Arabidopsis thaliana: one gene and its partner. The protein of the gene in region 1 interacts with the protein of each later gene in a biochemical or structural test. Each region holds a gene or a part of one and is shown on either strand. Other genes may lie near its edges.

Region 1 (13,726 bases):
GGAAAAGCACAAGGAGATCTTCAAACGGCTAACCAGAGGGTGAGAAAACTTAAAGGATCTGAAATGAGAAATGGATACTACTTAGCTTTAACCAATGTTCGTTTTTTGGGTTTTGTTCAGATACAATCCGTGAATGACATGTACAAACTGTTGCAAGAGTATAACTCAAGCTTGCAGCTGTATAACAGCAAGCTACAAGGTGATCTTGATGAAGCTCACGAGACTATAAAACGCGGTGAGAAAGAACGGACTGCCATTATTGAAAATATTGGCAACTTGAAGGGTCAGTTTTCAGCATTACAGGAACAACTTGCTGCTTCTAAGGTGATTGATGCTCTATCAATAGTAGTAAATGTTTATAGTTTTGGTCAGAATGTGATTTGGTGTCTTGTTTTTTTTTCTTGCTAGGCTTCTCAAGAAGATATCATGAAGCAGAAAGGTGAATTGGTAAATGAAATTGCGAGTCTCAAGGTAGAGCTTCAGCAAGTCAAAGATGACCGTGATCGCCATTTAGTGGAAGTTAAAACCTTACAAACCGAGGCAACCAAGTACAATGACTTCAAAGACGCCATAACCGAGCTTGAGGTTTCCTATCCTTTTATAACTTCTTTCAAAGGAATTCTCTGTCAAATTAATTTCTCTTAAGATAATGTAAATTATTTTGGTCCAGACTACATGTTCGTCCCAGAGTACCCAGATACGACAGTTGCAGGATCGACTAGTAAACTCTGAGAGGAGACTGCAGGTTTCATCACATTTTTGAGTTACACATACAACAAATGACTTTACTAGATTTCACAAGTTCTTGATACCATTCTTGATTGTTTATGGTCTAGGTGTCTGATCTATCTACCTTTGAGAAAATGAATGAGTATGAAGACCAGAAGCAAAGCATTATCGATCTGAAAAGTCGCGTAGAAGAAGCAGAACTTAAACTCGTTGAAGGAGAAAAACTACGGAAGAAGTTGCACAATACCATTCTTGTATAATCTGCTTAACTCACCTCTGCCACATTTGTTTCTTCCCCTTTGTGTAAGCTTGACTGATATCTTCTCATGTTGCAGGAACTGAAAGGTAACATACGTGTGTTCTGTAGAGTTAGACCTCTATTGCCGGGTGAGAACAATGGAGATGAGGGAAAAACTATTTCTTACCCGACATCCCTAGAAGCACTTGGCCGTGGTATTGACTTGATGCAAAATGGTATGTAACATAAACTTCTGTGGAAATGTGGTTCTTGCAGAAATGACACATTTATTAACAGTTGATGTGTTTTTGCTATGGACAGCGCAAAAGCATGCTTTCACATTTGATAAGGTTTTTGCGCCGACTGCATCACAAGAAGATGTCTTCACTGAGATTTCTCAACTTGTTCAAAGTGCTCTCGATGGTTACAAGGTAACTAAATCTGCAAATGGCAAAAAGTACTATGTGCGTTTCACTGTTTGTTGGAATAACTAAGCTGATAGAATCCATTTTATAGGTGTGCATTTTTGCATATGGACAAACTGGATCGGGAAAAACTTACACCATGATGGGTAGGCCAGGAAACGTCGAGGAAAAAGGTCTGATCCCGCGATGTTTGGAGCAAATATTTGAGACGAGGCAGTCTCTTCGATCTCAGGGTTGGAAATACGAACTGCAGGTATTTTTGTAGTCCTCTCTCTTTTAAGTAGCACTAAGTAAGATATATCCTTGTGATTAGAATATATGTATAATCCTCCTAGTTTTGTATCATATGTATAGGTATCCATGTTAGAAATATACAATGAAACGATCCGAGATCTCCTGTCAACAAACAAAGAAGCAGTAAGAACAGACAGTGGTGTTTCTCCACAGAAACATGCTATTAAACATGATGCTAGTGGAAACACGCATGTCGCTGAGCTTACTATTTTGGATGTTAAAAGCTCTCGGGAGGTTTCATTCCTCTTAGATCATGCTGCTCGTAACAGGCAATATAGCTGAAACCCGTTTCAATTTGACTGAACTAAATGGCCATCAAGATTTTCGATGAATCTTTCTGACAGTTGAAAGTTGTTTTCTTTCTTCTTCAGGTCTGTAGGGAAGACTCAGATGAACGAGCAATCTTCCAGAAGCCATTTTGTTTTCACGCTAAGAATCTCTGGTGTTAACGAGGTACTAACCAAACCGTCTTTCTTCTTACAGAATGTTTGTTTTGTGTGATAAACCAAACTGGCTTTTTTCTTTCTTACAGAGCACTGAGCAACAAGTACAAGGTGTCTTGAACCTGATTGATCTTGCGGGGAGTGAGCGTTTATCGAAGAGTGGATCAACCGGAGATAGACTTAAAGAAACTCAAGTACGTTTGATAGAAACATAAAACATGATTATGGTTTCTTGCAATTTTTAGTCTCTTAAACTTTCATTCTTTCTTCAGGCAATCAACAAAAGTTTGTCGTCGCTAGGCGATGTCATATTCGCCTTAGCAAAGAAAGAAGATCATGTACCATTCCGAAACTCAAAGCTCACATATCTTCTCCAGGTACCAAACCAAACCGTAAAAACATCTTTCAAAACTTTTGTTTCTTGATTTGTGGCATCATAATAAAAACTATGTTTGATTTTTAATTCAGCCTTGCTTAGGCGGTGACGCAAAGACGCTAATGTTTGTGAACATTGCACCGGAATCTTCTTCAACCGGTGAGTCTCTCTGCTCTCTTAGATTCGCAGCGAGAGTGAATGCTTGCGAGATTGGAACACCACGTAGGCAGACTAACATCAAACCATTGGAAAATCGGTTGAGCCTTGGATGAGGGAAAGAAAAGAGAGATGGATTTGAAGTTTGAAGCTAAAAGCTTCATTTCAAAGTTAATTATATGAATGTACTTAATATGGTCACAACTTGATGAAGAAGGATGGGATGATTCTAACAAGAAAACATGAAGACCTTTTGTTGTAATTTGTATAGTTTGGTTTAGCATTTTATTATCTGTTGTTTATGTAATTCTTTTTCTTTTGGATCATAAGTAGGATTTTGCTTGTTGATGTTCGGATTCATATTCATCTTCTGGGATTCAAAATATTTACTTCTCGTTTCTGTGACCAATCACCAGGCCTAGAAGCATAATGGTAGTAGTGTTTTGGTTACGAAATTGATATATGAATGATTGTTTATGTTTGGTCAGATTCAATATCGTATAGAAATATGAATGAAAGATAATAATTAATAAAACACTAAAAACTAATGTTAGTTATATTTTAATATGCTTGTAATATTTAGTACTTTTCGAAAACATAAAAACGTGAAAATTGACTAATACTATAAATAGTAAGAATACTGGATCATTTTTTCAAACCATGAAAAAGTGGTATACTTTTTTTTGTGTGCAAAATCTTGTTTCCATTCAGTAGATCAAGTAGTTACAGAAATGAATAGTTTAGCAAATTCAAAGTTTAAATCAACAATACTAAACGCATTTTTGAACAACAATAATAAAGGAGATAGGATATATAGACCGACGGTAAGATCAAATGGTTTCCAGACAATAGGTATGAACCAAATTGTCACATGCAAGCCAAAAAGTCGATATACCATTTATCTTTCCTTTTTCTTTCAATCAAGGTGTAATCATATATATCATATATGAAGCAAATTTGGAAATGGAAATAACACATAACAGAATGGGACATGACGGCATTTTTTGCCCACTCCGAGGAACAATGTATTCCATTGATCAACTTGAAACCCCACTTGATTAGCTGGTTCTAGATAAATGTTTGTTTTCTATTTAGGTTGTTACAGATTTCGTATAGTTAAATTGAGCTACATGTACACCAGATAAAATCAAGATGTTGATATAAGAATCATTAGATTCAATTTGACTTGAATGTGGTGTGTCAATTGTAAAAACAATTGTGATAGGGTCATACTCTATTTTCCCTATAACTATAATCTTGTTTTGTTGGACACTGGAGTAATATATATATATAATTCTGCAACAACTTACCAAAAATATTTGAAATCATGGATCATATGTCATTTTTTTTCTTCCAAAAATGATTTTGCCATATGATTAATGCATTACGCTCGTATGTTTGATAAATCTGGTTCGTCACATAAATATCACTTCGAAAAAATAACTTTTCATAGTTCATTATCGGTACATGTAAACGTTAATTCAATTATAGTATTTCATATGTTCCACCATCTCACTATTATATTGGTCATTTGATATTTCACTACTAAACCAGATAACTATTGTTCTTACCAGATTTCACACGTAATCATTGTATTTTCTAGAACATCGAACGAATATAGCCTACAAATATTATATGATTTAGTCAACTCCTGTTGAATTTCTTCTAAATATTGAGATAAGGTAAACTAAATAACATCTGAAATCATGGCAAAATTCATGCCTTCACGGAACTTGGGAAAAGAACAAGTCAAACTTTAAAATATTTGTGTAATTACTTGTTTATTAACATTTGTTTCAAAATATTGTACTCCAAATAGTCAAGTTGATCCATAATGCCGCTTCTGCATTCATTAATCAAACTAAAAGCAACTGGCTTAGCCGATCATAATTTCAAATAATAGTAGTGAAGAGTATAACAAGAAGAAAATGATAATCTCCTATGAAAAAAATAATAATAATTGATAATCTCCTTTATATTTTATAAAATAGAAATATAGAAGATAACAAGAAAACAAGAACTATAAAAATATAATTTAGTACAAAACAAGAGAATATACCTCACAGTATGAGTGGATATTCCTAATCAATAGTTGATAAATCTATTTATTTATCAATTTGGGTTTCGTTATATTCTTGGAAGAAAATAAGTTGACGCGTATAATTTGAGTACTGGTTTTAAAAAGAAAGAGGTGCTATTATATAATTTGGGGAAGATATTAAAGATTATATATCGTACATAAAAGATTCTTCTATTTTTTTTCTTTCTATTTCTTGGAACTACCGTTCTTAATTAAATTACCCATATATTGTTAAATTTTGGATTTTGAACCTGAGATGTCGATGGGCATCTTATCTTATTATGTTAAAAAGTTGAAACGAATAAATGGTCTCAATGCTAGTTGAGAAGTTTATACTTTTAGTGTGTATCTTAAAAAAAAAAAAAAGTTCGTATCTATGTGTATGATATATTATTGTTTATCAAATGTGCTAATACGTAAAGTATTATTGGAAATTTTCATGTATGTACGGGAGGAAGCAGAAGAATGTATAATCTCCTAGATCACGACCAAACGACCATTCCAACCATGTTCTCGAATATTATCGGTTCGTTCCAACGAACATGGTCACAAGTTTTCTTTATCAATTTAATTTGTTAAAAGCTAAACGGACAAATAGAAAACACATACTACTAAAACCAAAGAATATTGAAACAAACAAATTAATCAAAACCAGCTTTAGTGGTGTTAGATTGATAGGTCTTTAGATTCGTGCTTCTTACTTATTATTGCTAAGATAGTCGACACACACAAAAAGAAAAATCCATTCTCTTTTGTTAGAAAACATGAATACTTGCCACTATACCGATTTTGATTTAAAAAAACAAAAAGATTGTTAATGGACAAATTTTGTCTTTCTAGTGCATATTTACTTAAAAATTGAAATTATTAAAAAAAATTTAAAACGTATGGATTATATTTGACTATTTGTTTTGGAATTTAATCCAAAACATATGAAAATTTTGACCGTTTATGAAATGTTGATTTTTATTTTACTCTTTAACTCACACACAAACCACATACTTTAAAATTCGAATTAGAGAATTCACTAGGTTAATGCCCTGATTAGTTAAGTTTGTTGTAAAATGTATTGATATTTGATTTAATATATATATGATGATGTAACACATAAAATAAAATAAAAACACGTAAAATGAATTAAAAATAAACTAACAAATAAAATAAAAACCCTTGGTATGATGGGCCTTGGAAAGCCCAAAAAAAAAGGAAGAGTGCGCGTGAAAACCACTCTAATTTCTCTGGATTCCAAGATTCCCCAATTCGTCTCCTCCAACAGTTTTCTTCTTCTCTTCTTCTTTGGGTGTTCCTTCCACCAACGGCAGAAATCGATTTGGCTTAAATCTCCCCCTCCTTTCGATCTCTCTGATCGCCGCCGGGAACATTCAATTTCCCGGGAGTTCAACAAAAAAAAAACTCTCCGTTTTTATTTTTCCCCCTTTTTCACCGGTGGAAGTTTCCGGAGATGGTGTCACCCGAAAACGCTAATTGGATTTGTGACTTGATCGATGCTGATTACGGAAGTTTCACAATCCAAGGTCCTGGTTTCTCTTGGCCTGTTCAGCAACCTATTGGTGTTTCTTCTAACTCCAGGTTTTTCTTCTTACTTCCCCTTTCTCTCTTAAGTGCTTCAAATTAGGGTTCCGATCTGGTTTTTAAGAAATTCAAATTGATTTGAGTGAAATCAGTGTGATTGCTTGAATAATTTTATGTGGGTTTTTTCTGGTATGCGAAGGTGTATCGTTAAATCAAGGGAAGGGCTAATTTTGTTAAAGTAACGAACTTTGTGATTTTAAGCTTGTGTGATTGTTTGAGTAAGTTATAGAGAAGAAACTGAGTTCTTATTCATTTGAATTGGTTTCTATGCTTAAATTTGGGTTCTTTTAGCTTGTGTAGATATCTTTAGAGTGGGTGAAATGATATGTTAAGTTAGGAAGTTTGGCCTCAGGAGAGGATTTAGGTTTGTTTATCTAAAGTCAACTGTGTGTGCCTGACATGTTTTTAGTGTAACTTCTGACATGTTACTTGATTCGGGAATTGATTGATCATATATCACTTCTTGTTAGGTGGGAATTAGATTCCTTTTTCATGGATAGTGCTTTCACATATGAGTGGATGGTTTGACCTTAGCATGTCAATGTTAACTAATTAATCTGCTTCCTTGGAAGTGAGTAGTTGTAAGTTGCTACATGATTGAGTATAGATGTAATACTTAGTTGGTTCGATGTATTTCTTGTTGGTTCAGTGCTGGAGTTGATGGCTCGGCTGGAAACTCAGAAGCTAGCAAAGAACCTGGATCCAAAAAGAGGTAAGCTTTTTATGTTAAACTCTTTGTGACACACCTTTAATTCAAAAGACTTACTGAACCAGGAAACTATAGCAACTTTCAGAATCTATAACTTTGAGAAATCGCTATGGAATTGTTTATGGTTCTTTTGTTGTGGGGATCTGTATTGGCTCGCTTGACATATTTTGGGCTTGACAAGGTATCAGAAAAAATAATCTTGTTCATTCCATGTCTCAGGGGGAGATGTGAATCATCCTCTGCCACTAGCTCGAAAGCATGTAGAGAGAAGCAGCGACGGGACAGGTTGAATGACAAGTAAGTTTTAACAATTTTGTATATCCTTCCTTTACTCTTTAGTAGGTACTAAAATGATCGCCTTTTAAATAAATAACAGGTTTATGGAATTGGGTGCAATTTTGGAGCCTGGAAATCCTCCCAAAACAGACAAGGCTGCTATCTTGGTTGATGCTGTCCGCATGGTGACACAGCTACGGGGCGAGGCCCAGAAGCTGAAGGACTCCAATTCAAGTCTTCAGGACAAAATCAAAGAGTTAAAGGTGAAATTTGAATCCTCCTTTATCCCCATAAAATCATCGAATGCTTACTAGTTTCCGGTTTATGTCAATCAGACTGAGAAAAACGAGCTGCGAGATGAGAAACAGAGGCTGAAGACAGAGAAAGAAAAGCTGGAGCAGCAGCTGAAAGCCATGAATGCTCCTCAACCAAGTTTTTTCCCAGCCCCACCTATGATGCCTACTGCTTTTGCTTCAGCGCAAGGCCAAGCTCCTGGAAACAAGATGGTGCCAATCATCAGTTACCCAGGAGTTGCCATGTGGCAGTTCATGCCTCCTGCTTCAGTCGATACTTCTCAGGATCATGTCCTTCGTCCTCCTGTTGCTTAATCAAGAAAAATCATCAACCGGTTTGCTTCTTGCTTCCGCTTAAAAGAAAAGTCTCCATTTGTTTTGCTCTCCTCTCTTTCTCGGCTTTCTTAGTCTTATCCTTTTGCTTTGTCGTGTTATCATCGTAACTGTTATCTGTTGAACAATGATATGACATTGTAAACTCCAATTGCTTCGCGCAATGTTATCTATTCACATGTAAATTTAAGTAGAGTTTGGCAGATCGTCTCTCACTTTATGTGTTCTTACATTAATACATAGAATGTGGTTACTTCCTCGCCATAAGAGTTTGAAAGTACAAAAAATTAGAAACAGGAGAGACCGCAAAACATGATCCGGTAGAGAAGTGAAAACTCCACTGCAGAAAAGTTTGCTCCTATATCTTGATCTGTGAATCTCCTCTCTGGGTGCCAATGTAGAAAATGGTCTTGGTTTGTGTTATCATGATGCTCTAATGTGACAGCTCTTGATAAATCTGTCAGAAGAATCAAGATACTTAGCCCAGAGAGGACGTAGATGAGGAAATGCTATATCCAGCCAAGGCTTAGCTCTTCCATTGAAATGAACAACAGCGGCACTTTCAGCATCGGCATAGCTCGTGGTCTCTTGGTATCCGAGACCAAGCATATGCCAGAACGGATCTATGGTTTGGACATGACCGTGGAAAGCAATCAGCCCAGGAGGCAAAGTTCCCAGCTGCCACAAACTCAGGTCTGATTTTAAGTTCTGCAACACATACATGTAAATAGTTTTGAGTTAAGATGATTATTGCTTGATAGTGATTGTTGGGTAGTTAGTGGTTTCCTTTTACCTCGTCAAGCCAATGATAGTAAGTGGAGCTTATGTTAGTCCTCCTCCAAGCCGCTAGGTCGAAAACATTCATTCCATAAGCCCATGCACATTCCTCTGGATTGAAGTTTTTGGCAATTGTCGGATTCGAGAAGTTGAGGTAACTCTTGAACTTCTTTGACATCACAAACTTGTCTTCTCCTCTACATGTTTCCACTGCTCCATTTACTTTTCCATTCATGTCAATGTCCCAAAGAGGTGAAAGATCAGTTTGGATCACAATGTCATCGTCTAGAAACACAACCTTGTTTAAGCTTGGAAACAACTGCAGAAAAAAGCAAAGACTGTTATAGGTTTCGGGTCTAATGCTGTTGAGTATTCTTCACTAGTCACAGATCAAACTTACCTCTGGTAGATGAATACGGATGTGATTCATCAAGGAGTTGTATTTAGGGCTGAGAGCTTGTAACTTAGCAGCAACAACAACCGGGTTCTCTTTGTTATTAGCCACAATAACCGATGATCCACCTCTGAATTGAGACCTCACTCTCTGATCTTTCTCCATAGCTTCCAAAACGGGTACTTTACCTTTCGATAACCAATCGAAATGATGCAAAGCCTTGACCTCAATTATTGCTGGAGACAGAGGATGCAATGAGAACCAAGCTTGCATTGGGAAATAAGTTTTCCTATCCGTTATGATGTGAAGAACGATCTTATGAGGTCTTAAAGCATTTTGAACCAACGACTTAGCCACAACCGAAGCTGCAAGAATATTGTCTGAAGCCAAGACAAAGTGAAAGTAGTTGTTGTCTACCAACATAGGGACAAGCTCAGCTTCTGGAAGCTGGAGACGCGCCGCTGCGTTTATCGAGTGTTCGTTGGCTAGTTTAAGAGCTAAACAGTGAAGTTGTTTCGGTATGCTGCTTGATGCGACATGTCGATATAAATACTCTTGAATCTTAGCCGTTCTTGTTCTCTGTTCCATCAATGTCACCATTTCTTTTAGCTTTTGAGCAAATTCTCTTGCGTCTGATTTGCTTCTTTTGACTTCAGACATGAAATCTTGAAGTGTTTGAGGTATATCTGATCTTCCTTTGAGTTCTTGTTCGCTTAAAGGCTGTTCTAAAACTTGGTACATAGCTTCTGGAACATTCTAGAAATAACCAAAAACTTAACTTTTCACCACTCTGTTTCACCATAGTAAAAATAAATGCGCTCAATAATCTGAAACTGAAGTTAGAGAGGACTTACACCAGAATCAACCCTTCTTCCTAAAAGCTTTGGCTTTAGTCTTTTCCCCAAGCAAGCTGTAAATTAAAATGGTTAATTTTTTTTGTCAAATGTTAAAACTATGTGTTATTATGATTAATAAGTAAGTTTATCTCTTTAACATGAAATGTCTTTAAATATTTAATTAAGCTTGAACATAATACTACAAAATCAACGTGAAACAAACCGACCAGCTCTTGGATTTATTCACTTTTGAGCGTAAATCTCTAGTAATTATTCAACTTCTTCGTTTAGATTATTGTTTTACATGAACTAGAAGATAATATATTTATTTCTCATAATTGTGCATGTATATACACATAAAAAGTAAAATGCTTTTAGTATAAATTATATTGCTATTTTTTCTCATATGTTTTTTTTTTAGTGAGAATCGAATGTTTTGTCGAAGAAATCGAAATCAAGAGTTCACTATTTTACATAATTTCCGGATTTAAAAAAGAAAAAGAAAATGAGGGAAGTTAGAAGAAGAAAGAAACGTACCAAGAGAGGAGCAAGGAGAGGGATCGCCGTCGATAGTATCAACGGTGGAGAGAACAAAGACGAATCGGAGAAGAAAAGTGAAGAAGAGTAGAGAGTAAAACACCATTTGATAAGAGAATCTTCTAGAACCAACCTTAACTTTTATGAACTCTCTCAATCCTTTCCCTGTGACCACAGTCACATGTCTCAAGCTCGGAGATATATGTAACTGCATCTCTCTGTTTCTCCTCTGTTTCTTTGTTTATTATGTCTTTGTATGGTTTTTGTCTGAAAGGAGATGGATGTTCGAAGAGGGAAACTGGATCTTACGTTGTTATGTATTGTATGATTATTCATTAGGGGTCCATATCATTTACCTAACCTTGCTTTGTGTTTAGGTTATTAATGGCAGATCATAACTCTGATGTTTCTTGTGAATAAAAAGGAAACGTGTGTTGGTTAGAATTAGAAACACCACGGTTTTATGTATTTGTTAGGAAGCTTTGGGTTTTCTCGGTTATGCGCTATTCGGTTTTTGGTTCGAATCTCTAAGCTGGTGGTGGAATCAATATTACACATTAGTACATTACTTCGATTACTAAACCGATGAATCTGAATCTTGTTTTGGTTTATATTGGTATATGTTTGATCGGTTAGGTTATTTGGATTTATGGGGTTATCCTTTTTCTACTTGTAGGAAAAGTTTTTTTCCGGTGGACTCGGAATACCATTCAGTGCAAATCATGAAACTCTTAAAATGAATTAAACGTCACATGTTTATGATTAGTAAGATCTGAAATTTTGCGATAGTTCAACAGCTTCGGTTTAATTCGGTTCGGTTTAAGGGATTTGGATTTAGGATTTGGCTTTATGTTGAAGGAGAGAAGTTGGAGAGAGAAAGACAAGTCAAAGGCAATGCAAAACATAGATGTTAAAAAAATTGGGAGTGTAGATGAAAAGGAGCTGTTTGGTGGTTACAAGACATAACTTTACATCTAAATAAAGTCTTTGAACAAAGACATTGGAGCTTCAACTTCAGAATTTACTTTTTGAGGACTAATTTCTTGTCTAATTTCGATTGCGACCCTTTTCTCTTAAGTTATTCAAACTCGTCAGTCGTCCCCATCCAAACAAGAAGTCTTTGTAGTTTGTACTTCAAGACTTGTTGCCTTTCCAGTGTAATAATATTTGCAACTTGCAAGTTTCAATTTCTGCTAGTTATGGAAACTTTTTGGGCCTATGTCTACGGCCTCTATGGGATATATCATTACCAATCATTTTATATACCCGAACAATTTAGTTGTTTTTTTGGAATTCGTTGGTTGAATGAAGTTTGATTACCAAACACAAGGGATTTTTAGAGAAAACTCTTCTCACGACTCTTTTTATAAAAACCACATGTTGATACATCAATTGGGCCTCAGTGATCAACCGGCCCATTTCAAGGAATAACGACCCAGCCCCGACCATCACTTTAGAACTCGAGCCGGCCCACCAGGCCGAAGCCCGGCCTGGTCAGGATGTGAGTTCGGCTGCGTAGAAAAGGGGCACTCTCGAGAATTCACCTTGCGTACCCTACTATACGGACGGGTATAAATAAGGAATAGAAAGTCTCGGGAAAGGGGACTTTTTCGAGACCTGGAGAAAGGATAGCACAAGTCAGCTCGTCGGGAGAAGTCTGCTCGTCAAGATCAGCCAGTTCGCCCAGAAGAGCCAGCTCATCGACACAAGTCAGCTCGTCGGGAGAAGTCTGCTCGTCAAGATCAGCCAACTCGCCCAGAAGAGCCAGCTCATCGACACAAGTCAGCTCGTCGGGAGAAGTCTGCTCGTCAAGATCAGCCAGCTCGCCCAGAAGAGCCAGCTCATCGGTACAAGTCAGCTCGTCGAGAGAAGACATCTCGTCAAGACAAGCCAACTTAGCAAGAAGAGCCAGCTCACCAGAACCACCAGCTCGAAACGGCATCGCCTCGTAGCGCCCTCAACTACGTTCTCAGTTCGCAATAAGCCTTTCAGCCCGTCAATTGCCCAGCTTCAAGTTCAGCTCGTGGATTAGAGATTGATTCTTCACCTTCCCCAGAGACTCACCCGTACTTGTTTAATTCGTGCATTAACACCACACATGAAGGCTATATAAGTCACGCAAGCCTTCAAATCACACATTACAACCTTATAGAAATCAAACATGAAATAGGAAAACAAACTAAGAAAGCAACACAAGTTGCCCTGCATCACTAACCTAATTGTATACATTAGTCAATAATAGATATCTAACAAAATAAACTTAAGATATAGGTGCTCGGATTTATGATTTCCAATACATGACATAGCCTTTTCCCGTTGCGGCCTCCTCATCAGGGTCTCTTTCCGTATCTATCTTCCTTAAGATGTGTTTGGCCAGCTTAAACCATAGAAAAACATACATACCTCCTCGCATGACGATAGAAATACCAAGAGTGGTATAGAGTAACCATTTGGTTCCTTCAAAATGAGGTAAAATGATCCATCCCACTGCGACATAGGAAGTTGCCAGGGCAGCCACAGAGACTGACATCATTTTATGTGTTATAACCAAGACATTCTTGAGTGATTTTGGCTTGAAAGGAATAATGCTGACCAGAAGAATGACGATCCATAATGATGTAAACAACGCGATGCTATTGCTTACATAGAAGATCTTGAAAGCTACTGTTTTTGCCGCAACTGATTTCCCTTTCGAGGAAGTACTCTCTTGATAGATGCCACCAGGAGGGTTCATCCCCACTGCGAAAGTAACCGATGCAATCAAGATGGCGACAACCGTGATTGTATTCCTCGCATTTTGCAAAGCCTCTGAATGCATCACACTTTCCTCTTTGTGACTCTCGCCACCAAACTTTAATGCGATAGATGGGAAATTTGCATCATCTTTATCGAGAAGATCAACCGCTGCAAGACCCTGTATGTTCTTGGCTTTGGTATGTATTTTTGTTTCATTGATGATGTACTCCGCTAGCTGTATTAATTGTTATGTTCAAACAAACTCCATTATTTTTATGTATTTAAATAGTGTATATGCTAACTCTTACTTATGTAATACTTTGAAACGAAAAAATAAGCTGAAATCTAAATTCAATTGAGTTTGGAAGGAGCAATCTCTTTTAGGAATCGGAGAGTAGGCTCAAAACCAATTATCAATGAGTTGATTAATCCATAAATCTTTTATACAGTTATAGAAATATATATCTCAATTTTCAATGTGTGATTATAATAGTATCTAAA
Region 2 (17,251 bases), on another chromosome or scaffold:
GAGAATATCAATTCACCCACAAGTGTTTTCGACATTGCATTGAGAGAAACCTGGTCAAGCTTACCTAAAGAGATTTTGATGCTTGCATTCTCTAACTACTCTGAGTTTGCAGATGTTCTGGTAGACAAGAAGAAACAGTCTCTCGAGTTCTTAGTTGTTCCAGAATTCCCACAGTTACCGCCTTTCTTGTTAAGGAATCCTTCAAGCCGGAGTAGCAAATGGTCAAAGAAGGAGCAACCCGGTGTTGAGGTCGTTGGTCCTGTTGTTCCACTTCCAGTTCTCATCACACTCCATGAGTTCCATAACGGATGTCTCAATTCAGAACAAGAGTTCTCGCCTGAAGCAGAGTTCTATAACCGATGCAATCAAATCTCCAAAGCCACCCGCCAGATCGCAAACTCAGGTCGACACGAGACAACCATTTCACTTGACGAAGACCGAGCCGATGAAATGTGGCTCAACAGTGATTCACAGGAGGAGAAAAAGACGTTCATTGCTTATCGTCCGATAACAAAAACAGCTGAATCAGACAGACTACAGCAAGAAGTCACAACGTTTGTCTCCAGAATACGTGGTTGTAAAGAAGGTGATGATAATGCTGTAGGAAGAAGAGGGCTTGAACTGTTCGATGAGTTGTCTCCGGTCGAGATGTTCTTCGAAAATCGGGAAGTGAATTTCGATAAATTCGATATGAAAGCTATGCTTACGGACAAGACGTTTCACTCTCAATGGCAAGATCGATCATCTTCATATCAAGAGTTTCTTTCTCAGTACCATCTTAAAAAATGAGAGAGATATCTCCCACGGCTTCACCACCAATTTTGTAATTTCCACTTTTTTTTGGTAATACTCATATTTGAGGATTATGGTTTCTTGGTATTATTGTCATGTAACCAAACTTGGGATGTAAATATATATATATTTATGAATTTTCGTTTTGAAAATTCAAATTACGTAATTACCATTTGAAAGACTAACAAAATTTCGCATTAGTTGCATAATCTCATGCGTTACAAAATGAAACAAAGAGTTGGTTAAAAGAGTCTGGTATTAAACTGGTCCTACTTTGGGAAGGAAAACAAAAACTGTTATTACTTCTTTTTTTTCTCTTTCGTAAGTCGTAAGATGGATCCTAACCCAAACGGAGATGGACCACCGATCACCGGAGCAATCCAAAAACTTCCTCCTCTTCCGCCACCATTCTTTCCGGCGTGTTTTTGTGGCCTGAACTGATACGAGCTGCAGCAGAAAGAGGAAGGAGGACGCATATGAGATGATGGATTCACCCCTGGACGTGGGACTCCATGTCTCTGCGAGCTATGCTTGTTAATGTCCCTAAGCATTTCCCTCTTCGAAATCGCCACTGATCCTGTGGAATTGCTTCTCGTTAAACGAGGAAACGAACAGATCAGACTCTTCTTTATATCGCAGTTCAGGCTTGAGCTTCTCTTGAAGCTCCAAAACGACTTTGATGATTTCTCTGCCTCTGAATCCGAATTTGCACCGCTCCCTCGTCCATTTAGGCTTCCTCGAGTTTCTTTCACGCTGTATTTTCTTGAGTGTTCAGGCAATGGTAAAGGCAGAGGAGGAAGATAAGAGGATAAGGTTGGAGCAGAGACAATAGGAGGGAGCTCATATTTGTAGAGACGTTTTGGCATGGTGGATGTAGCTGTGACTTGGAAAGGAAGAACTGGGAGGATCATGCCGTCCGCAAATATCTCGTCAGCTGGTGAGGAATCTCCAGGATCAAAGTTGCTTGAGATGTGGAACTCGAAATCTGAGTTTGATGAATCCAAAAGAGTGGTGTCTCTTCGGACCGGGCCTGATGGTTGTTGTTCCATAGGAGTTCCTTTATCGGACTGGCCGAGATCACCAGCAAACGAAAACCGCTGGTGGTTTGACTCCGTGCAGATCATGATGGTCCGTTTTGCTGGAGTTTTCAAAACAAATTAGTGAAACCAATGAGAAACAGAGAAATGATGAGTAAATGAAAACTAACCTTAGTTTGATAGAAAGATGAAACTCTGCTCAGAGACTTTTTTTTTGCAGGACTGTCCCAAAGAAAGGAAAGGTTTAGGTGAACATGATGTTTGGAAACATTTGAGAACAAACGCATAAGTCTATGGATTAGAGGTTGAAAACTTCAATTAAAATAATGGATGTGGTGTGCCACTACTGCAAGAAACAATGGCTGAGAGAAAAAGAGCATAATGTCTAATTAGATCTCAAGGGTTTGAATAAATTACATTACCTCTACTTTAGGTGTCCAACGGACTGTTTATTCTTTTGTTCTTCCTTCTCTATTTTCGACAGAGTTTATATTGCTCGTGGATCGTGTACCCTCTTACTCGCCACACAGGCTGGTGACTGCTAACATTAGCCACATTGACGTGTTTTAATGAGATATCTTATCAGCCTGATCATGGCTTCCACCTGCGACATGGTTTGGATACTCTATAGAAGTGATGGTTAGCTGCAGAAAAGATCTAAACCCTGAAGCATGAAAGTGCAAGAAACCTTTCTGAAGATTTTTAGATCAATTAGCAGTATATGATCATCCTTGCATTATCTTGCAAAACTTAAAACTACAATGTTCTTTCTTTTCCATACAACAATCAATAATGGAACACCAAATCAATATTTAAGAACCTGATTGCAGCAAGTAACAAGTCTCCCAGCTCAGGTGTTCAATAATTGGAACACTGTTTGTAAGTTTGTAACTTGACTTACCAAAGAGAAAGGAAGCTGTCTATAAAACCTTGGGCATAGTGAGATGTTGTAAAAGGAAAGCTTGGTCTGACCCTGCAAAGTTGTCAAAATTGTCTAAAAAAAAGCACAAACACTATTTCTCAGTAAGTTCTTGACACAAACATGCACAAGAACCAAAAAGCTTATACAAAACACAGGATCAGAATTTTCTCATAATCTTAGCAAGATACTAATTTAAGTAACTCCTGAGCTGCTAATAGTAGGCAACAAGACAAACTAAATAAGGAACAACAATGTAAGAAAGTTGCAGAGAGCTGAATTATTGATAACAAAAAAAAAAGAGCCTGGAGATTCCATTACCATGGAGAGATTACAATTAGCTTTTGGTAACGGAAAAAAAACACACACCAAGATGTCTCTCTTTTACAACAAAAGAAGAATATAAAAGAAACCAAGTAAAATTGGCTTCTTCATTCACTAAAACTGAGCACATTGCTACATATATATTTTTCTTCCTTTTTTACAACGAAAATGACAAAGTAGAAGAAAAACAAAGTTGATACATTTTTCTTGGATAGAAAAAGAGAAGCTGACCCCAAATTTCATGTTTCCACAGCCTCAGGAACATCGTAAGAGTCTGCTGTTACTTCTTCTGCTAACCACAATCCTGGAAATAGAGTCTGCAATAAAGGAAAATTCAGAGTCAAAACAGAGATCAATTGTGTGTGAGCGAGAGAGATAGAGAGAAGAAGAAGAAGTTACATTCATTTGCTTCTGAACCAATCTGGGTCTCTTCTTCGGTCGTCTCGGAGGTCTTTTACCAATTAAGGCAGAGAAATCTTGTTCGATTTCTTCTCTCAACAAAGAAACAGAGAATTTCACTTTCTCATTCTTATTCTGCTGCGAATCTCCTCCATCTTCGCTACCACCTCTCTTAACGCCAATTTCATGTCTCCGTAGAGAAGAAGAAGACTCGATGATCCTGGTGGAATCATCACCAGGTGGTTCGTTACAAGCAGCTCTTCTCGTTCTCAAATTCCACGGCCGAGCAGCTGCAACAACATCGCCGTTGTTGTTGTCACCTCCATTGCCCAAAACGGAGAGCTTAGGTCTGTTGGCATCGTAGACGAGATCGAGCCTGAGCTCACCTGAAAGTCCTCCGTTGTGAGATCTATGATCGGGAGAAGGAGAAGAAGAAGAAGAAGGAAAAGAAGGAGATCGGTTGTGGTGAGGAAGCTTGACGCAGCGGAGGAATCTTTGCTGACCCCATCGGAGATAAGGTAAGGTGAAGTTATGGAGGCGTTTGGATCTTTCCGGTGGAGGAGGAAGCTCCATTGATTGATTTGATTGGTTTCTCTCCGCCGTGGGAAGATGGAAGATTCCTTTCTTTTTTTTTTTTGGTGAGCTTTCTTCTCTCTTTCCTTTGGAGCAACTTCAAAGTTTTTTTCTTTTTTGGATTTTTGGTTTTGGTTTGTGTATTTATTCTCACGAAATTTTATTTTATGTCTGTTCGAATTATTCGGAGAGAGAGAGTTAGGGACGCGATTGTAACGTTGTACTCGTTTTTTTTTTCCGACCCGTCGTCTAAAATCAGCTTCACAACTTTGTTACTATAAAATACGTCTTTTTCAAAATTTAGAGGAATGAGTGTTTTAGAAAACTAATTTTTATTATTTTCTGTTGAACTTTGATCGTTTAGACAATATTTTCTTATTTACTTTTCTATAAACTATCAATTAATTTAAAGTTCAATAGTTTTGAAGGAATTATGATGAATTATCAAGTATTTTTTTGGCTCTCTTGCTGCTTCTTCTTTCCATTACATAACAATGATGGGTTACGTTACGTATAAAAGAAACAGTGTTAGAAAACTTGCTTGTGAGGATTTCACCGCCCGCTCAGATACGGTTTGTCAGCTTTTCGATTTTAGTTTGATTTCTGATAGTACGGTTAAATAAACAAACTAAAACATGTCGTTTTCTTTTAACCAACCCTGATTATTTTCCCTCGCGAAAATTTAAAAACTCTGAAGTGTAGATTTTTTTTTTCTTGACATCAACAATAAGAAATAGTATAGTCAGATACGAAGAGTGGAAAAAAGTTTTCTATTAAAAATTGTTAACTATTTACACTCTTCAAAGAAAAAGTCTCAGCTTAATGCAAAAACAAATAGCGGATTATGTGGAAGAAAGAGGATGACGGTATGGGATGTTCCAGAAACAAACGAAATTTTTTGGCTTTGTTCAAGCCAAAATGTATAGTAAGGTAACCTAAATAAAGACTCTTCAAAATCTTAATATCTCAGAGACTATACAAAAAAAAAATCTATCAACGGGCTTCTTCACATTGTTGTGCGAAACAGAGGGTAAAACCCGAAAAAAGGAAAGAAAAAAAGAGAGTAACAAGTGAGTGAAACCTCTTGGTGTTTTCAGGATGAGGTTGAGCAGTCCGGGGGGATTGTTTCGGACTTGATCACCCGGGTATTGTAAGAACCACAGCTACCACATTTATGGTACAACCAATGGAACCGTGTAGTTCCTTTGCGTTCACAATCATTACATAGAATGTCCTGAAACATTTGTGTATGTGTGTCATGAAATGACTAGACTAAAAGAAATAGTCAAGACGCAGCAGTTTTAGTGTTTCTCACCTGACAGCGATTTTTGTATTCCTCTGGAAGTTCTTCTGCAGCTAACAGTGCATCAAGCATACCAAAATAAACCTGTGGAGTTCGCAAAAGAAACGAAGAAGAAACAGTTCAGTAAACAATATTTGCATGATGTGATATGCATGTTACACTCTTGAGGGGCGGGGATCATCTTACAGCCATATCTCCTAATGATTTTCCACAGATTGGACATGTGTAGTGACTGCAAGTGTAAGCCTGAAAGACCAGAGTAACAGCAAGTGTTTTGATTTTAGGCGTTAAAAGTTAATTTAAGTTTAATGAGAGAAAGAGAGATTTGCAAACCTGGAAGCAAGCTGAGTGCATGTAGTGACCACATGGTAAGGCTCTAACTGCTTCACTCGATGTGAAAAGAAATTCGCAGCAGATGGGGCAATTTGTCTCGAGGCTCTTCTCGAGGCACTTGTGGTTTACTAATTTCATCCCTAGGCAACAGTTACATGTCATGCAATGGAAAAAATCGATTCCTAGTCCTTCCCCGACCCGGCAAAGGTTGCAGAATGGACAGTGGTAAACGGCCCTGAATGCAGATAATTGTTTCTCACGGTTAGAATAGCTTCTGAAGTTTGATTTTTGACAGTGGTAAATTGATTCGTTTATGCATCAAACTGTTGGGTTTTGTTTACCTTTCATCATCAAAAAGTTTGCAAATACTGCAATAGTGCTTTGCCATTGGGAATCCGTCGCATGAAGGTGTTGTGCAGATGGGACCAACAGGTTGCACCTTGAGGCACCGCATACAGAGCATTTCCGTCACCAATTTTCTGTAATATGTTTCAAATATAAAATTACATATCACAGAGAGAGAAAAAAAATACGAACAAAGAAGTTTCAATTTAATTAGGGGAAACTGGCTTTAGAATATAAGATCTTACCTATCCATGGAGTGGTCGCTTACTTTGTCATGGCAAAACCTACAAGTGAACAACTGATCACAACAAGCAGCTCGAAGCTTGCAGTTACGCTTGTAATGCTCGCATCCATATATCTGCTTCTCGGGATCCCGAAAAGACGGGGAACATCCAAGTTCAACATCACCATTTACTGCAGTTTCTGCTTCCTTAGGTAACTTTTGCTGAGCCGCAATCCATCGACTGATAAATGCACCAACAGAAGAATTTTAAAATAAATGTTACTCTAGAACAAATAGGATTCGGGTATGAGGGACATGTGAATGAGATTATAGGTTCTCTATATCAGAAGATTGCTCAATCAAGGACACATATACATGCACAGTGGAAAATAAACTGAGCACGTTATTTTGGATTGGGAAACTGTAAAGGACAGGAGCACCACTTATACTCTTCCGCATTGCAAAAGAAGTTCAAGTAATACAGGGAAATGTATTATCTCTTTGGGGGGTTCTAGATTTATGTCTGGCATGCTGTATGCATGACAATGTGGAATAAAGGATCCATGCGTGGAAATAGTGAAAAAAATCTGACCTGGTCCTCCAATTCTGTACGAGATAATCTTTTCTCCTCGGATCAAGTGTTGAGTCCTGATAGACCTTCCTGATTTCAGCCTCTAGTTCATTCTGGTTCATGCGGAAAATATCTTTCCACCCTGGCTTAAATAGTTCACCACTTTGGTCCAAGATTTCTTGATGATCATTATCTATATGGAAAATAAACTTGACATAAGCAAAACAAACTTAGCACAGAGAAACTATAGTTGCCAGCTTAAGTATGAGTTATGAAGTCCAAAGAAGAAACATCTAAGGTTACATTAAACAAGTTAGATATTAAGTTGGTGAGAAATAGCTAAGCAATGCTTTTACCTTTCTGTGGACTAGGTTTGGATGTTTCTGTTGAGGATGAGTCGGGTGATCCTTTCCAGCATTCATTAAGCCATTCATCGAACATTGTGTTCTTGGTTGCCTGCTTCCAGGTATCCATCATTCTGTTTTGCTCATCTTCAGAAAGGGCAGACGTCACCCATGGTAACATAGATTGAAGAACTTCAGCACCCGTTGTTCCGATTATACGACCCACAATCTTGTCTTGCTCTTGAATGGAGAAGTGTTTGTCAAATAGAGGCCAAAGCTCCAGTTCCTCCAAGAAAATGTGCTGATCCAAAGTGATTTTAATGGATTTGCACATCCCCTGTAGCTTTGTAGCCAGTTCATTGTATTTCTTGTTGCAGTCACCGTTATCGATATCCGTCCGAACAGTGTCAGTTTGAGCTATGTCCTCCATCATAGAATCACTCTGTAACTTCTCATGAAGAATTGAAAGTTCGGTAAGGACACTATAAATATCTCCAAACAACTTCTCCTCCTGTTTATGGTCGAGCGTGTAAGAGTGACTGACATTGTGAAGTGTCTCCTTCGATTCTAGAGCTGGAAATAGGATGTCATCTTCTGCATTACTATGAGCCTTGTAGAAACCCCAGAGTAGGTGAAATCGACCGATAAATTGACGAATAAATGTTCCATCGCAATCAATGAGCTTTCCAGATTCAACATCAAGAAACTCTAGATCTTTGCTTATGGCCTTGTGAAACTTGAATATTGTAGCAACTGGCCGCTCAGCATGTCCAGTACCAAAGCTGTTACTATCCATTTCCCAAATAAAGAGGCTGGAATTAAGAGCGGGTGCAGCAGAGTTTAGCGAAGAAGATCTCATAGCTTTAGCTGCTGGAAGAGAACCAAGTTCCAGACAATTATTGTTAACTCCGAGATCCGGAACACAGCATGACCTACCATTTCCAGATGGCTTGCACCCATTTGCAACTTCTGTCGAGTGAGGGGTGGTTTTTTTTTCACAAGACAATACAGCAGTTCGCTTAGCTGGCCTTTTATCTTGATGCTGGCAACACGATTTTGTACTCCTACTCGTGCATGGAACAGACGCACAAGCATTACATGACTGAAGGTTGACTTCTTTAATGTTGCTTAGTGTTTTCACAGGGCATAAACCATTCCCGTTTGGAGACAAGCATTCCCCGGCTTTGCGTCCTTTGCAAGCCCAACCAGAGAAAAGAGTAACGAGAGCAACATCCGATTTAGGTGCTGAGGCCACAAGAAAAAGCATGTAATTATGCAAAATTGTGAGTAGCTAATAATTTGAAAGAAGGTTAAGTTTAAGGCAGTACAGTAGATAGTACCTCCAGCTTGCAAGTTCTTCAGAAAATTCTTAGCTTCATCTTCTGTTAAAGATGCCGTCAACCATGGCAAAACTCGTTCAATTAGTCTCAATGGCATTATACACAGGCTTTGGTAGAGAAGTTCTTGTTGTCTTTTGAAGCTGAAGTTCTTTCGTGCAAGGGGTAGCACCTGCAACCACTACAAGTTAGTTGACATCCTGAAATTGGTATCTTGAATCTTCATAGCATATAGTATCAAATGATCTTATGCCAAACTTTCATAGTTTCACCTGTTTACAATATCATACAGCACTTAAAAGCAATAGTTCACCTGAATTTCCTCGTTATGGAAGTGTCTTTGAATAGTTTCCATTATTTGATCAGCATGTGAGCACAGCTTAGTGTAAAATTCGGCAGCGGAAGTAGAAGAGGCTCCAGCACTCTTGATATTTTCAATTAAGCATCGAAACTCGTTAAACTGATTTTCTTCTTCATCGTGCTCTTCAGAAAATGAAAACTCTCCATCTACAGCTGGAAATATGATCTTGTCCTCTGCAAGACTGCACGAGAAAAGAACAGATCATCTCAAAAATAGTCCAATGACAATTCAATCTCTGTCAGAAGAAAAAAAAAGTTGTATGTAGATATGAACATTTGATAAAACTCTTTTTCGAATGATAACACTCTAATGCAGAAACGTGCTTAAGCATGAGAAGAGTAAAGGATAAACAACATCCATATCACTTGAAAGTAAAACACATCACAGCTGGCAAACGTGTTTTAGTGGCCATCAACATCAACTTTATAAAACAAATCTAGTTATTTACCTCAATAAATCAACATTGAATAGTCCCACAAAAGATAGCCAATAAACAATAGCAAAATTGAGATTATTCTGTTTTCATTGTAAATGAAAGGATACAACAAATACCTATGGAAGATGCACACTTCAGCAATATATTGTAAGCGTTCATCAAATGCCGATAAATCCGAAAAATCTCCAGACAGCTGAATCTTCCTAGCCTCATCGGCTATTTCTTTCATCTCCTTGTTGATTGACTTGTGCCAGAGCTTTATCTCATCAACTGGGTGCAGAGTATCAGATGAGCCAAAGTTAGTAAGCTCTGGGTACTTTCTCTTCCCAATCTTGGAACCCTCACATGCGCACTGTTCTCTACTTGCTTTACAAGGAAGCATGCTGCTAGAAGAATCTAGACAGCACTGGAACATAGAATCTTCAATGCGACACGAAGCCACGGTATTGCTTTTCCCTCCCAGCCAGGTGAAAATAACCTTCAAAAGGAAAATATCAATCAACAAGCCAAAGTCTTTCAACTTAGAAAGTTGGATCTTAATTCAAAACTTACCTGCTGAAGGAGCTTCTCGCCTGGAACTATCTTCTTTAAGCACGTTTGCATCTCCTTGCTTTCATCTACTGAAATGGAAGAAGAAATCCATGGCAAGAACACAGCAAGCATATTCACAGGAATACTGCAGAGAAACCGCCAGACTATGTAAGCTTGCTCCTCATACTTGAATTTCTCAATAAGTAAGGGGAACACCTATCAACAAGCCAAGAACAACCCGTAATTAATAAAGGCCAATGCGTAATGCTAAATATTCGATCTGTGTTAATAGAAAACAACAGAGATAATACATCTGTGATGTGAAGGAAAAGAAAAAAATACCTGTTTCTGTTCTTTCGCCAAGTGCTGGCTAACAGAAGTCTGAAGTGCTCCGGTAGAACGAGCCAACTCCCTTCGGTAACTTTCATCAGTTTCCGTGGCAGAATTCAGCAGCTCAAAGAGATGATCGAAAAGATTGCTTTCCCCCTTGTGTTCAAGAGAATATGTTTGCGCTACATTCTTCACACGTATGTCAAGAGCTGAAAATATCACCTACATCCACAGATTTGCAACTGTCAACAATTCTTCCTCATAACATAGCAATACAAATATGTTGCAATAGATTCCCTATCTACAACGCACTCATAGAATCAATAGGATGATCAGCAAGAGACTAATTGAGACTTACAATTCGTTTAAGATAAAATCAAGTCAGATTTACACAAATTTGCAGCTATATGTATTGAGTTCAAAATCCAAGTAGAGATGGTTCCAAATTCTAATTCAGCAGTTTTCAGAACATGATGAGATCAAATTTAAAAGAAGAGGACCAGGTTTTCGCATTACCTCGTCTTCGGCATTGCAGTGATGCTTATAGATGGATCTCAAGAACCGGTACCGTTCACGAAGCAGCCGGAGATCGACATGGTGACCAGTAGCAAACTCAAGAGCCAATCTATGAAGAGCTTCAAGCTCACTACATACTGCCTTATGAAAGAACAAGAAAATCAGGATCGGAGAAATCTCTTCCGCGTCATCCGAGAACGAATTCGCCACAGGCAACGGACGAGATGAAGAAGAAGAAGAAGACACAGAACTCGGAAGAACCGTGGTTGAAGAAGACGCCACTGCTCCGCCGCCTCTCGCCGTCTCAAAATCTGGTAACGGCGTCGCCATTTCCCCCAAAGCTTATCTCCGTTTTCGTCCGTCAAAAAAGAAATCTCAAACCACTTCTCTCTTTCCTTATGATTCGTCTACGACCTTCAATTTTCAAATCTGAGCTCGGTTCACCATGGGAATTATCTGGTGTTCTTCTGGTGTTTGTGTGGTGTTGTTCAACGGAGACGATGAGAAGGAAAAAAAGAAAGAAAGGTCGAGGCGTTGTCTGATATATCGATTTTGATTTTGCTTTTGCTTTCTTTTCTTTTTTATTTTTTGCCTTTTATCGTTTTATTAATGTTTATCTGGAAAATATTTAAAAAAAACTGTTAGTAGTATTATACGATCCTTGTAAATTTTTTTATAGAAAATGAATAAAAGTGCTTGGGGATTGGGTGGGTGTTTCTATACATAGGTTTTGTAGCACGTGGCCATTCACATCGCCACGTCGGATGCTGATGCAACCAACCCAGGTTGGCACGTGACCGATTACATCTCGACACGTGCAAGCGTCTTACCTACGAACGCATTTGGTCCGCGAGACATGGACGCTGGTTCTCGGAGTTAGAAGGAGGGACTCTACTGACTAGGGGCAAAAACGTTATGTAATTGCTTACGTGGAATTCATTAAGCTTTTGTTAAAATGAATTTGCTATTTTATATGTTTGAGGTTTAGCTTTTGAGGGAGCACTTTCAAAAGAAAAGATGAATTTGGCTTTGAGATTTTATGAAATAAGATAATGTAAGACAGATTCGAACTTGGTTTAAATATTTAGTAATGACTAATGACAGAGAGGAGATGTAGCAGCACCCGTTCGTAATCTAAAGGAGCCAAATAGCTAATTAGCTTCTTAATTAAACCATTGATTAAATTATTGCTTCACAGTTTTGCTTTGATTAATAAATGCAAATACAAAGGTTTAAACTTGTTTAATTGAGTTTGCATGTGCTCCAAGGTTTACTAGATTGAGTCAATTAATTTTGTGTCATTACTAGAAACAATTCTATTTCAAATTAGTAAAAGATAATAGAAATCGTGTTCAATATATATTCTTATGTAGAGATAACAAACAATTCTTTAGTAGATAATCAACAGCTAATGATGATCATGTTTCACAGTCGTGTTTATATTATGTATAGTCTAGTTAGTGGTACACCAGAAAATTACATTTAAACCTAAATAAACTTTGAAAAATGTTAATTACGTAAATATTTGGGAACTCTTTTCGATTAAAAGTATCTTAAAATTTCAATTTTGTATATTTATAAATCTATTCGTTCATATTTTATTTTTAAATAGATGATATTTACATATTTTACCAAAAAAACAAAAGGAATAGATTGATGAAGTAGAAAATGGTGGGAAAAAAACAGAGGACAAAGGAAGTGGTGAAAAGTAAAAAAAAGATACAAGAGGGGACGTGTGGGAAGTGTGGCGACAATTGGGTAGCAACAAGTTCCACTCGCGCTCTCTTCTCCACAACACATTCCTTTTTTTTCTTATAACCAAAATAAATAACATTTATTAGGGGACCAATATTTAACAAGTATTCATTATTCTTTTTCCCCCGATTTCACAACAACCTATTTATTTTATAATCAGAAACAACTTAATAATTCGCCGTTCTTGACTATAATTCTATAAAGAACAAAAACAACACGGACTAGTCAACTTATGTAAGCATTTCAACATTGTTCCACGTAATTTTCTACGGTAACCTTTACCTAATTTATATAGTAATTAACAAGAGATTAGATCATATATACTATATGAATATATATATATATATATAGCTTTATTGCAATCTTATAGGATCATAGATGGTAGGATTATTATTCTCCCTTCTTCAATTAATGCAACGATATAGGCATCTATGACCACCTAATTATGATCGTAAACCTAAATGATTAAAACAATTATACAATTTAAGACTAAATTCGATTGGTTGATTATTTTAAAAAATGAATATAGCTGTTTTTTTTGTTCCGAATTATTTGGAAATTTCGAGTATCGTGCAAGTGTACAATAGGCAATGGGTTGGCTTTTTGTGAATTGTGATCCATCAATATAGTGATCAATCTCTTTTCATGTATCCTTTTTCCCTCTTTTGTTTTGTTTTATTTTTTTCGTCTAAGGATAATGTTTATTTGCCTCGTCTCTTCCTTTTAAATGCATCCTTACACTTATCTTGTTTCAACATTCTATATTTAAGTTTTCGTTCTTACTCTATTTTTCTGGTTCCATCTGTTTTTTCCATTAGAATTGCCATTTCTGTTCATGTAGTAGATCTAGAAAAACATATCTTTCACTATATGTTTCTACCAATATAACTTGATTGAACCGGTTTTGCAATATTGGAAAAATTAAATTTCATGAAGTTTTTTAGGTCTAGATGTTTGGTTGACTCTAAATTTTTGCTAATTCAATATGAGACTTGTTCAACTCCAATTTAAATTAGCACTTCGTAAGAGGATACGTCAGTTTTCATTCCAAAAATCTGTTAAAATTTGACCCAAAAAAAAAATCGACCTTTTTCTGTATAAGAACTTTTACTTACAAGTCTACTTTACCATATATAATTAACAAAAAAAAAGGAGAGAAAAGAAGATAAAGACAATGAGCATATGCATCTCAACATATTTTTAAAGTTTACTGCATGTCTGCATATCAAAAGTGAACATATATCGTGTTTTCAAAGAAACTCATGAGAAAATGTTTTTATAAAATATTGTATCGTTAATTTTTAGCCTGATTTTTAAAATTAATTTTCTTTATATATGTATATATTGATGTGATTGGTACATCTTTAACATCAATCCCGACCAACACCTTCATCATTCATGTGTGTCTTGTTCTTAGTCAGATACATACAAAGCCGTGTCCTCTGGAATATCTCTTTGTTGGTTTCTTCTCTTTAAAATAAGCACACAATATTTGACGTAAAAAAAAAAAAAAACTGGGGAAATTGTTTTCAATACTCAGATTGCACTAAATAAAGATAAGACATTTCATCTCATATGGAAATCAATGCATAACGCATTACCAGTAATGCACTACCAACATATCAAAAATTCACTACAGATGAAATTATCAATATTTACTATTGAGTTTTCCATATATAAACTGTATATAGAGGACAGATTATTGGTAGCTTAACTGGTATTATTTTATGTTATATACTTGATGTGTATATAGTATATACATAAATATATCTTCATATTCTTAGTAATCTCTTAGCATCGGTTGATTGTTATATGTACAATATCTTCTCACTAAAAAAAAAGTAATTATGATTAATATTATAATTATTTTGAAGGGTAATATTATTGGAATATGATTTTTGAGACACATAAGACACAGCTTTTAATTTTATTGTATCTGTAATATTGTTATACAAAATTATATATACTGTAATATTTGACAAAGCTTTTGAATATACTAAACCATCTTTAATTATAAATTTATTAAATCTTTGTTTGAATTATTAATATATCTATATATATTTTATTTGACCCAGCTTTTGAATATAAAAGCTCTTTGGATATTTTAAAAAACCCTTCTATAAATTCTACTTCTTTTTAAGCACACGATATTTTCAGAATTTGGGCCCTCTATATTCGATCCAAAAAACAGTAAGTGAAACAAGACGCACAATTTATAGTATACTTTATCATCAACATAAGAGTTGTTTTTTTTGGTTAAAACATCAATATATATAAGAGTTATGTCTACATTCCGCCACTATATTATATATTTAGTTTGTATCAAATTAATTATGAGCTTACAACATTAATTGACGTGAATCATCCTACTATTTTTTCACATTGTTAACGAGAAATTACTGCACAACAAATATATTTTACACGACTAGTAGTGATTTTACTTTTTGCCATTTATATTATACAAGTGTGTTGTTATTTGTTAGTAAAAGTATTGGCAAATGGTGAAGTTGATCATGTTACTTAATTCATCATAAGATTGTTCTTCTTGTATAAAAAACAAACACACACACAAAATGTTGAAAAAGAAACACAGATTCGATGTTTAATGTTTTCAGTGCATTAGAATATTTATGTGAAACTACGTTAACTTATAGTTTACATCAGAAACGTTCCATGCCGTATTTCCAAATTGGAATCTCCATGTTTGTTACTATTTTGGCACTTTATAATTAAACTAATTATGTCAACTGTTTATTTAGTATGTCCGTACTTATAAAATATCAGATGCGTAAACAAATTGCTCTCCTTAGTAGAAAATAAAGATTTTCCTAATCAAACCGCATTTCAACTTCAACTTTATTTTTAGCCTTGTGAAAACGACAAAACCTTAATAGGTCCATGAAAGCGAGAGCGACCATTAATTATCATTTACGTTAACTCATGAATAATTGTTATTGCTTTTGCTTTTTTTAGTTAAACATAGTTTATATTATTTTTCATTTAAACCATTCTGTTTATGAGAAAAATTACATGATCTTTGGTCTAAGTTTAACTCTTAAGAATATATATATACATCATGAAATATATTTCTTGGGGTTAAAAATAGAAAGAGCAGTAGTTGGGAGAAATATTCGTAGGTTGGGGAAAAATAGATGAGATAATATTCGGAGGTTATGGATATGTAGAGCCAGCGTGGTGTTTTTAGTTAGGTCAAACTATAAATATAATATTAAATTTGATATAGTATATAGACTTTAACAGTAGAAAACAAAATTGATGTTTATGTTTACTGCCAAATGTCAAACGTACAATATTAAATAGCTACATATGGGAAGATAAGAGTTAGGATCGTGACTCCTTTATGTGATGAGGTATTTTCTCCAGATGAGGTAATTGGTTTAGGACCTTAAGCTAGAATAAATTTTGAAGTTTCAAAACTAATATTTTTGTTTATTCTACTTTGTAAAGTATTTGGCTATTTTGTTTCCCATCAAACAGAAAGAAGACTATGAGCAGTGGCCAGTGGACATACATTGTTAACTAAAAATATTTGACCTCATAACAAATGAAAAATTTATTCAGAAATTATTTAACAAAGAAAATCATATAATATTTTAGCATGCATTAATAAAAATAAAAATAAAAATTATTATTATCTTTTTCAGAAATATAGATAATATATATTAAACATTATTGTTTAGGTCCATTTCTTTTCCCTCTCATGTTCCGTTACTCTCTCACATCAGAATCCGAATTTAAAAAATCACGATCACCGACATGAAAAACCCTCGAATCTGATTTTTGATTTCACTTCTCAAGTATCAAAACTAATTATATCATGAATAATTTGAGCTTATGGTCATACAATTTCAACTCTAGTTGTACCCTTATCCATTCTTATTCTCATTGAGTAAATTGTGAATTTATTAAGGTTAAGGAGTATACCAAATCTTGATTGCAGTTTCTTTGCACATTTAACATTAAAGACGACTAAACTAAATTAGATCAAAGAGGAATAGATAGATTCAAAATACTCTGTATTTATCCATTTCTAATAATTAAAAATTCGTATACTTTATAGAATCGTTTTACCAAACCCAAAAGCTTAGTCTAGTACTTAATAATATCTAGGATCCTAGAATATAGTGCAGGCTCATTCACTTAAACATATGTTTTGATTCGTAGGCTATTTACTTCAATAGAAAATTATTGGGCTAGGTTTAATAGTATAAGAGAGTAAAATATGCTGGCCCATTTCACCGAAATTACGATTATCGAGAAATCTCTAATTTTGCGATGATGTTGCCTGTTTTTAGAGCTGCTGTCGCTCGTGGTTTGAGATCCAGTGGTGGGAAGTACTCTAGTGCTCTTGGAGCTGTTGGATACCCTAGGCATGCTCCAAATCTCACGTTTGGTGGTATGTTTCTTAGATTTTTGTTACATTTTGTATGTTTCTTTCCATACTTGCACTCGTTAGATTGGACTCAAATTCAAATTTCAATTCGTTCTCTTCCTCACAAAACTTAGAACCAGGGATCAAGAAGAAGCCTCGTCATCTTCATCTCATCCGCTTGAATCTGCATCCTTACTTGCGGAACACAGAAAACGCCATGGCCTGTACTACCTCTCCTATCAGAAGAACGACATCCACAATGATAGCATTGACGACAACAACACACTAAACGAATACCCACCAGCGAATGAGATATCGGTGGACTCATTTAACACTAAGAAAAAGATGAACCAATCAAAACTGAGACCTGTAGTGGTGCAACTGGACAAAGAAGATGGATTAAAGACAAAAGGACAAATTCAAAGAAAT

The links.
Region 2: the proteins of ILR3 (region 1) and BTS form a complex in vitro, tested with the Arabidopsis thaliana proteins (one study listed by BioGRID).

What each region holds. Positions count from the first base shown.
Region 1 is NC_003076.8:22,211,067-22,224,792, forward strand, and holds ILR3 (basic helix-loop-helix (bHLH) DNA-binding superfamily protein), read left to right. Parts: upstream 1-5,867; 5' UTR 5,868-6,203; coding exon 6,204-6,331; intron 6,332-6,374; exon of another isoform or gene 6,375-6,983; coding exon 6,984-7,046; intron 7,047-7,262; coding exon 7,263-7,340; intron 7,341-7,419; coding exon 7,420-7,582; intron 7,583-7,654; coding exon 7,655-7,927; 3' UTR 7,928-8,208; downstream 8,209-13,726. Other genes in the region: ATK3 (kinesin 3), read left to right, coding at 1-39, 121-324, 409-585, 671-745, 837-983, 1,065-1,203, 1,289-1,398, 1,484-1,645 and 5 more; GAUT12 (galacturonosyltransferase 12), read right to left, coding at 8,369-8,653, 8,739-9,041, 9,123-9,872, 9,971-10,026, 10,490-10,703; AT5G54700 (Ankyrin repeat family protein), read right to left, coding at 12,030-12,445, 12,893-13,403. UniProt on the Arabidopsis thaliana protein: Transcription factor. Plays a role in resistance to amide-linked indole-3-acetic acid (IAA) conjugates such as IAA-Leu and IAA-Phe. May regulate gene expression in response to metal homeostasis changes.
Region 2 is NC_003074.8:6,268,061-6,285,311, reverse strand, and holds BTS (zinc finger protein-like protein), read right to left. Parts: upstream 11,347-17,251; 5' UTR 11,005-11,346; coding exon 10,675-11,004; intron 10,381-10,674; coding exon 10,171-10,380; intron 10,045-10,170; coding exon 9,850-10,044; intron 9,776-9,849; coding exon 9,414-9,775; intron 9,043-9,413; coding exon 8,814-9,042; intron 8,673-8,813; coding exon 8,504-8,672; intron 8,409-8,503; coding exon 7,176-8,408; intron 7,013-7,175; coding exon 6,841-7,012; intron 6,490-6,840; coding exon 6,271-6,489; intron 6,160-6,270; coding exon 6,022-6,159; intron 5,916-6,021; coding exon 5,681-5,915; intron 5,594-5,680; coding exon 5,534-5,593; intron 5,432-5,533; coding exon 5,360-5,431; intron 5,279-5,359; coding exon 5,138-5,278; 3' UTR 4,750-5,137; downstream 1-4,749. Other genes in the region: AT3G18310 (TATA box-binding protein associated factor RNA polymerase I subunit C), read left to right, coding at 1-789; AT3G18300 (uncharacterized protein), read right to left, coding at 1,092-1,916; AT3G18295 (DUF1639 family protein, putative (DUF1639)), read right to left, coding at 3,312-3,389, 3,472-4,044; AT3G18291 (uncharacterized protein), read left to right, coding at 4,539-4,667; AT3G18282 (uncharacterized protein), read left to right, coding at 16,726-16,846, 16,957-17,111. UniProt on the Arabidopsis thaliana protein: Essential protein. Negatively regulates the response to iron deficiency and thus contributes to iron homeostasis. Exhibits E3 ubiquitin-protein ligase activity in vitro.